Linked DNA regions of Mus musculus. The protein of the gene in region 1 binds, or shares a complex with, the protein of each later gene. Links are inferred from orthologs where the notes say so. Each region holds a gene or a part of one and is shown on either strand. Other genes may lie near its edges.

Region 1 (3,743 bases):
CTCCCCCTACATCTAAGATTAGGGTAAGAAGAGCAAACAGGAGACAAGCAGGGAAGTTGAAGTCTGGCTGCTGCCCTTCCAATCCCAGCCTGGCCTGGTCGGTCTTCGGTTCTTCCCCTCCCTCCCCCAGTGCAGGGGGATCAGGCGCTGATGTAATGCACTCGGCTTCCATCCCCGTGCCAATCTCAGAAGAGAGACGACAGATTGCGTGAGCCAAATTTGGCATCCTAGGGGGAGAGGCATGAAGAGTGGGGATGTGGAGGAAAAGAAGAGCGGGGAGGGACCAGAGAAGCCCCCTGCCCCGCTGAGCCCCTGGGTGCTTCCTGTCACTTCTTACACTTCCGTTCTTACCCAGCCTATTTGGCCCGCACCCCCTGCAGGCCGACCAGCCTAACCCACCACGGACCCTCCAAGCCTGGGTGCTGCCAGTCTGCCCTCCCCCACCACGACACACTGCTCCAGCTTCGTTCCCATTGCTTGTTTCCTGGTTACCACGTTGCTGGTTGTCATGTCGCTTACATGTCCTCGTGACTCAGTGGTCCCCGCAGAGGGGGCCCCCTCCTCCTCACACCCCCCTCAGCACTCGCCCCCGCCTCCCCCAGATCCACATTAAGAACCAGCCCGCCCTGTGTAAGCCCACACAGTTCCTCCTCCCCCTCCCTCTCATCCTAAGCCCCAAAATCTTCCCACAGCATCCTAGAGTGACTTTGTCCTCCGATCCACAAATGTCTCTTTAGAACCTGCATGGTTTGGCTCTGCAAGCTTTTCCCAGGGCCCTGACACTGTATGCAAGCCAGTGACAATGACATGAAGTCCCATTCTCCACTGGTACAAACTGTGACTCAGAGAAGTCAAGCTAACTGCCCAAGGTCACCCCAGTGGGAGCCCGCGGACATTTCTGTCTGGCCAGTCACCTCTATTTTTTTTCCCCTAGGAAGATGTTTCTTTAAGCGTAACATTAGGTACAGCGCCCAAGTCCCAGGTCCCCCCACTTATGCCTAGACACCTCCATTACTGTCAGTCTGCATTTCCAGCCATATTCTTGCCACTGGTAACTACTTATTTTCCCTCAAAGTAAACTGAGTTCTTACCCCCACCCCCATCTGCCCACCCCTCTCTTCAGCCTACCAAGAGTCTTCTGCTCACAGAGCTCAAAGGCCCTGCATTGGAGGTCAGTGGGGCAGGTCTGGTGTCCCCATTCCACAGATGTGCTGGCAGAGGCTCAAGGAGCATAACTTGCCCAGTGTCTCAACTAGCTGGTCTCATTTCTGAAGCCTGGACCAAGGGATATACGAGCCTTGATGCCCAGTATGGAAAACTTCAGAAAGAGACCCTTCTTCCATAGGAGGGCAGAGCAGAATGTTCCAGGCTCAGTCCTCCCGCTCCACTTGCCCTAACTGTCCTGTTTCTCCACTTGCTCCCCTCAGAAGCCAAGTCAAGGCTACACATGGCTCTGGACTCCTAGCAGTCCTGCAAGGTGCAGGGATGGATGGGAGTGGGGGTGGAGTGAATATTGGATCCCTGGATCCAGCCCTTCTCTGTCCAGGGCTAGACACCTCGTCTGGTCCCTAGGTCCTTCAGCCTACTACTTGGAGCTCTCCCCCTCTTGAGGCCCTCCCTGTTAGGGCAGCCCAGCCACCCTGTGTGGTGCCTAGAGGGCACTGCTGCCTGCCAAGCTGGTCTACAGCTCCCTGCCCTGAAGTCTGAGTCCCCTTGCATAGTTTGTGGGGGAGGGGGGGGCAGTAGTAGGCTGACCTGGTTAGTGGGCATTCTGCAGGTGGTGGTGAAGTTCTCCTTGCTTAGAGCCCACGGCATGACTCTTTGCTGTTTCCCCTTTGCAGAAGAAAAAGCATCTTTGCCCCTCTCTCTACAGCCTTAGTTTCCACCACTCTAATCCCCGAAATGCTCCATTTACTGTTACCTCATTCCTTCAGCTACTACCGGCTCACCTACCCTGGGGTTATCTGGCACAAGGCAGGTGCTTAACACAGCAGAAGGGAGATTTCTGTCATACTCCGAACCATTCACGGAGACTGCAGGTGGGTGGTGGGAAGCTGAGACGCCCCCTTCCCACCTTGCTGCAAGTCACCTGCCTCGCAGCTCCTGGCATGGAGGTGGGCGGGGGCAGAGAAGGGCCGTCGCCAGGGCAGGAGGTCAAATCTCTGTCATCCATCTCCCTTCTATTGCCAGCCACAACCCACAGGAGACGCTCTGATGGCCAAATAAACGGAGCGCGCCAGCTTGGGGGAAGTCACAGGTCCACACTGGGACCCTTCAGGAATCGGGTCTGATGGATAAGTGCAGGACGGGTATGGCCAGAGCGGCAGGACAAACAACTCTCTGAGCTAGACAGACATTGGGACGGACAGACGGACGAAGAGTACTCGCGATGGACGAGCCCGAGCTTACCCCGGGGCGTAAGGTCCGAGGAGGGTCTGGGCGGCGAGTGTCCGCTACATCCCCCGGCGCAGTCCGGCGGGCGGAGTCCGGGGCGCCGGGCTTGGGACGCGGGCGCCGCCTGCCCGCGATGTCGCCACTGACCCAGGCGGCCTCTGTGGGTCTCGGGGTCTCCGCGCTGTCCCGCGCCGCTCCCTGCGTAACTTTCAGCGTTGCCCCGCGTCAAGAGCTGGGCGCCGCCCGGGCGGCAGCATCGTGGAGCCCGGGCTCGGGTCGAGGGGTCCAGGGGCCCAAGGCGCCCCACTGCCCGCTGTTACCCACAGCCCCACGACCCTCTCGTTGTTCAGTTCTGGGGTCTCCTGGCTCTGTGGCCACCTCGCGCCTGCCACAAGGTCCCCGCCGCTGTGCCCCGGTGCCGCCTCTCCTCCCGCGGGGCCGTGGCACCTGGTCGCCGCGCTCCGGCCCCTGCCCGGGCTCAGCCTCGCCCCGCGCCGCCTCCTCGGCCGGCTGTGTCCTTCTCTGTCTGCGTCCCTCCCACTCCCGCCGCCGCCCCCTCCGTCTGGGACCCGGTCCCCGCCGCGTCCCCGGCTCGCCCGGGAGCCTGAGCTCCCGCCGCCCGCGGCGCGCCGAGAACTCCCAACTCGCAGCACGCGCCCCGCTTCGGAGACTTTCGCCCCTCCTCACACGTGACCCGCGCCCCGCTGCGGAGGCAGCGCGCCCCGGCTGCCAGCCCCAGGCGGACCCCACCCCGGCCCTCCTGGTGCGTCTGACCCACGCGGGCAGGCCACTAGCGCCCGGGACCCAGGACTCCAGCAGGAGTCGGGGGTCGGGGACGGGGGGGGGGGGGGGGGGAAGGCTGCGCCGTCCGGTTCTCGCGCGGATCCTGCCCGGGTTTTCCTCCTCGCCCCGCCGCACTCCTACTGGAGGATCCGTTCCAAGGAGGATCCACTCCCGGATTTGCGAGGCCCCTGGGGACAGGTGGGGAGGGTTCTCCGAGCCCAGAGGAGGGTAGGTGGGAACCAGTCCTGTGGGGGTCCCGGTGGCCCTGACCCTCTCCTGGGTGGTCTGCATCCTCTCCCGAAGCTCTAGCAGCTAAGGGCCCTAAGCACCCCCACTTCAGGAGACAGAGGTCGTTCTTTTGGAAGAACCCTAATAGTGGCACAGTCTATCAGTAAGGCTTCAGTTCACAAAGGAGAAACTGAGGACCCACAGACGTCCAAAAGTTCGCAAAAGGCCACCCAGTGGAGTGGAAGTCAACAAACCCTAGTCCCTGTTTTCTTCTCATCTTACTAATCTGTCTTTCCTTTTTTATTTATGTCTATGTGTGCAGATGCCTGTGTGTGTCC
Region 2 (3,743 bases), on another chromosome or scaffold:
TGGCATATGGCTAGTCTTTCTCTACCTGTGGGTCGTGACCCTGAGGGGCATCGAATGACCCTTATAAAGGGGTCACCAAAGACCATTGGAAAACAGATATTTAACATTATGAATCTTTTTTGTTTTTGTTTTTTGGGTTTGGTTTTGTTTTGTTTTGTTTTGTTTTGAGACAGGGTTTCTTTGTGTAGCCCTGGCTGTCCTAGAACTCACTTTGTAGCCCAGGCTGGCCTCGAACTCAGAAATCCGCCTGCCTCTGCCTCCCAAGTGCTGGGATTAAAGGCGTGCGCCACCACTGCCCAGCAACATTATGATTCTTAACATTAGTAAAATTACAGTTATGAAGTAGCAACGAAACTGATTTTATGGTTGGGGTCACCATAACTTGAGGAGCTGTATTAAAGGGTGTGGCATTAGGAAGATTGAGATGACTGAGAACCAGTCAGGATAGATGCAAGCGTCGACCCAGGTAGAGCAGTGTCAGAGGTCATCTGCACAGGCTTCCAGGAGGCAGATCAGTGGGGCTACAGTTCAGAGGACAGCTTTTGAAATGGTTTTAACAAAAATGGCCGGAACAGAACCAGGATGCTAACTCTACCTGAGGGGGTAAGACTGGGAAGGAGGCACCTCCACCCCATGAGCAATCCGAGACTGAGAAAGGCCAGCTCTGCTTGCTTATGTTCAGGCATGCACCTGGCATTAGGATTGGAGGACTGTGGTCTTACAGCTTTAAGGAAGACTCTGACTCTCCTGCCAAGACGGAAGAGGGTGGAAAACCTCGATGCCTAAGGTCCTTTCACCTGGGGCTTCCTGTCCAAAAGTGTAAGCTCCTCCAGGCTTACTCCCACACACACCTTCCTTCACTTCCACCAGCAAGGTCCAAAAAGAGACAAAGCCCTAACTTAAGGGAGAAGTCAGGCAGCAAAGTGGCTCTCCCTAGGTCCTAATTACACCCTCCTTTTCCAGATAGGGTCAAACTCGATGATCTTTCTGGGGCAGCCAGTGAAGGATCCTAGAAAAATCAGGCTGGTACAAATTGAGTAAAAACTGGGATATCCTAGCCGGAAGCTCACCCTCCCAAGCCACCTTTATCAGTAGCTTTGTTGCCCCCACCCTCCAACACACCCATCTAACAAGGCCCATCCCTACAGTTCCAGGACTGTGGACACAAGTCACACCTGTGACTCCAACACTTGGAAGGCTAAGAAGGGAGTACTGCCAGAAGTTCAAGGCCAGTTTAAGCTTAAGAGTAAGGCCCTGTCTGGGGAGTGATTTGTGTCCTTCCTAAAAGCTTCCTTTTAGGAAACTGGGCACTGATGCTTCTCTCTTGGGATTCAGCTGCTCAGGGTTGGCCAGCGCCCCCATCAGACTGTAACATCTACCCCTCCATCCTGTTGCCTATTCAAATACACCTGATTGATACACAAGACAAACCGAGAAGGAGGCCCTGGAAAGGTCTAGAAGCTTAAGTGTCATGCACAGGACAAACACTAAGCATCAAGGGCTGAGTACCCTAAAAAGTTCAGAAGACCAAGCCTTAGCTCTCGAGGGGTCTGTCCCAAGAGCAGCGAGGCCGGATGAGAAGCGGGAAGGGGGATGCACAAACTCTGGCCAGCCCCACCCCCTAAATCTCCTACGGCTCGGCGGCGGCGGCGGCGGCGGCAGTGTGCCGGCTGGAGCAGAGGAAACGCTTCCTCATTCCAGAGGCTGCGACTCACAGGACATCGGCGCCCGCCCCCCACGGCCGCCCAGCTGGGGACAGGAGGCCCAGGGCAGGGGAGTTTTCTAACACTCCCGCGGACCAGCCTTTCTCCTACGTCCTCCCGGTCTGCGCCTAGTAAAAGGTATCCACCCGACGGCGGCAGTGCACAGGATCTGGCCTCTGCCCAGGGTCCCGGGAGGCTCTTAGGTCCCAGCCACCTCTCCAGGCCAGGGAAGGCTGCAGCACTGTTAAGCAGAAACGGCCACCGGAATATACGCAGGAGCCCCGGGTCCTATACTTTCTCAGCCTGTCTAGATGTCAGTTTGCCGCTCTGCGAAATGGGGGTGAGCCAAGAGGAGAAGGAGCCCGCGCAAGCGCACTCACCACTACGGCGGTGACAGGCTGGCCCGGGGTGTAGGACATTTCGACCGAAATCTGTCAAGGAGACAGCGCCCGGTGAGACCCCCAGCGAGAATGCCCGCGGCCGCGCCCTCCCTGGTTAACAAAGGGCAGCCCTGCTCAGCCCGCCCCCTCATGAATACTTAAGAAGTCTCTAGCCAATCAGCATCTGGAGCGCTGTTGGGCTTTCCGGAGTCCCGGGACTTGTGTGCTGAAGTGGGGCGGGAGGGGAGAGCGCCCGAGGCGCAAGCGTAGGAGGGTGGGGCGGAGTTTGTGCGCCTGCGCAAACCGAGCCCTCCCAGCAGCCTCCAGCGCAAGATGGCGGCGCGGGACTCTCCGCTTTTTCCTGTCTGAGGGAACACGAGGGACTGTGTGCCGCGGCGTCTCAGGTAACTCCGCGAGCCTGTCGGGCGTGTGCTGATGTGCTGCTGTCCCGGGCCGGCCCGAGCCTCAGTTTCGGCGTGCAGTGGAGGTCAGAGGCCCCCAGCACGGCGTCGGAGGTCCCAGGGGGAGGAGGCGCCGTGCGCTCAGCTCGCCAGGCTTCGGGCTCCACTTGTAACTCGGTTTTCTCCACAGCTCCGCGTGAGTCGGCGTGAAGGCAGAAGCGGAGCCCCGGCGGGTGCGATGGCCGCGGTGGTGGCCAAGCGGGAAGGGCCGCCGTTCATCAGCGAGGCAGCCGTGCGAGGCAACGCCGCGGTCCTGGATTACTGCCGGACCTCAGTGTCAGCGCTGTCCGGGGCCACCGCCGGCATCCTCGGCCTCACCGGCCTCTACGGCTTCATCTTCTACCTGCTTGCCTCCGTCCTGCTCTCCCTGCTCCTCATTCTCAAAGCGGGAAGGAGGTGGAACAAATATTTTAAGTCACGAAGACCTCTCTTTACGGGAGGCCTCATTGGAGGCCTCTTCACCTACGTCCTCTTTTGGACCTTCCTCTATGGCATGGTGCACGTCTACTGAAATGAGGGCAGGGGTGACTTTAAAACAGATCGGCAAGGCTCTTGCCAGAATTAACACCGGGTAGACTTACTTAGATTTTAAATTGTTGGAATTCGCTGCTTGTTCTGTACTGTTATAATTTATATCTGAAGACAGAGCCTGTAATATTATTCTTCAGATTAAATGAAGTGTGACACCTTGTCGTTCCTTGCTTAGCCAAGCTTTGAAGTCGCCAAGATTTGCTCCCTGGAGAGCAAGTACGAGGCCACAGCCTGTATATTTTTTTGGATTTAACGCCTAGTAAGTCCAAAGGGACCTCTAGAGTATACATGAGAGAATTTAACGTTAACATCTTAAGAACTGGTAACAGTTCGTGTTACTAAGCTTTCACTGTGTACCGGCATTGTGTGTTTTCATTCTCGCCATAGCAATGGAGATGTTACTGCTAACTTTCTGTTAATGAAAAACCTGAAGCACAGAGAAGTTAGTTGTCTCTGCCAGAAGTGGCTCGTCTGGAAGGGGGCAGGGCCGAGGTCCAGTTGCAAGTCTGTTTGCTTTTGCTGGATTGGGTAAGAGTCCTCTTCTAGCACCCCCTCCCACTAACCACTGCTTTCCCACGTGAGTGAAATCAGCTAAGTTCCAGTTACACCAGGTTTAGCCAGTCGCCTTTCCTATAACAAAAAATGCAAGCTATTTTTCTAAATCGTTG

Evidence for each region. Proteins that work in one complex are often made in the same cells at the same time.
Region 2: the proteins of Kcnj4 (region 1) and Tax1bp3 are in contact, whole or in part, in a crystal structure (PDB 3GJ9), measured with the Homo sapiens proteins. The link is inferred for Mus musculus from reciprocal best matches to the Homo sapiens genes KCNJ4 and TAX1BP3. Residues at the interface, in NP_004972.1 of Homo sapiens: Arg440, Arg441, Glu442, Ser443, Ala444, Ile445; in NP_055419.1 of Homo sapiens: Leu27, Ile28, Leu29, Gly30, Phe31, Ser32, Ile33, Gly34, Gly35, Asp38, Gln39, Gln43, Asn44, Thr58, Arg59, His90, Asp91, Arg94, Leu97, Thr98.

What each region holds. Positions count from the first base shown.
Region 1 is NC_000081.6:79,502,787-79,506,529, forward strand, and holds the start of Kcnj4 (inward rectifier potassium channel 4), read right to left. Parts: upstream 2,456-3,743; 5' UTR 2,410-2,455; intron 1,154-2,409; exon of another isoform or gene 1,129-1,153; intron 1-1,128. UniProt on the Homo sapiens protein: Inward rectifier potassium channels are characterized by a greater tendency to allow potassium to flow into the cell rather than out of it.
Region 2 is NC_000077.6:73,175,683-73,179,425, reverse strand, and holds the start of Tax1bp3 (tax1-binding protein 3), read right to left. Parts: upstream 2,344-3,743; 5' UTR 2,123-2,343; coding exon 2,084-2,122; intron 1-2,083. Other genes in the region: Emc6 (ER membrane protein complex subunit 6), read left to right, coding at 2,723-3,055. UniProt on the Homo sapiens protein: May regulate a number of protein-protein interactions by competing for PDZ domain binding sites. Binds CTNNB1 and may thereby act as an inhibitor of the Wnt signaling pathway. Competes with LIN7A for KCNJ4 binding, and thereby promotes KCNJ4 internalization.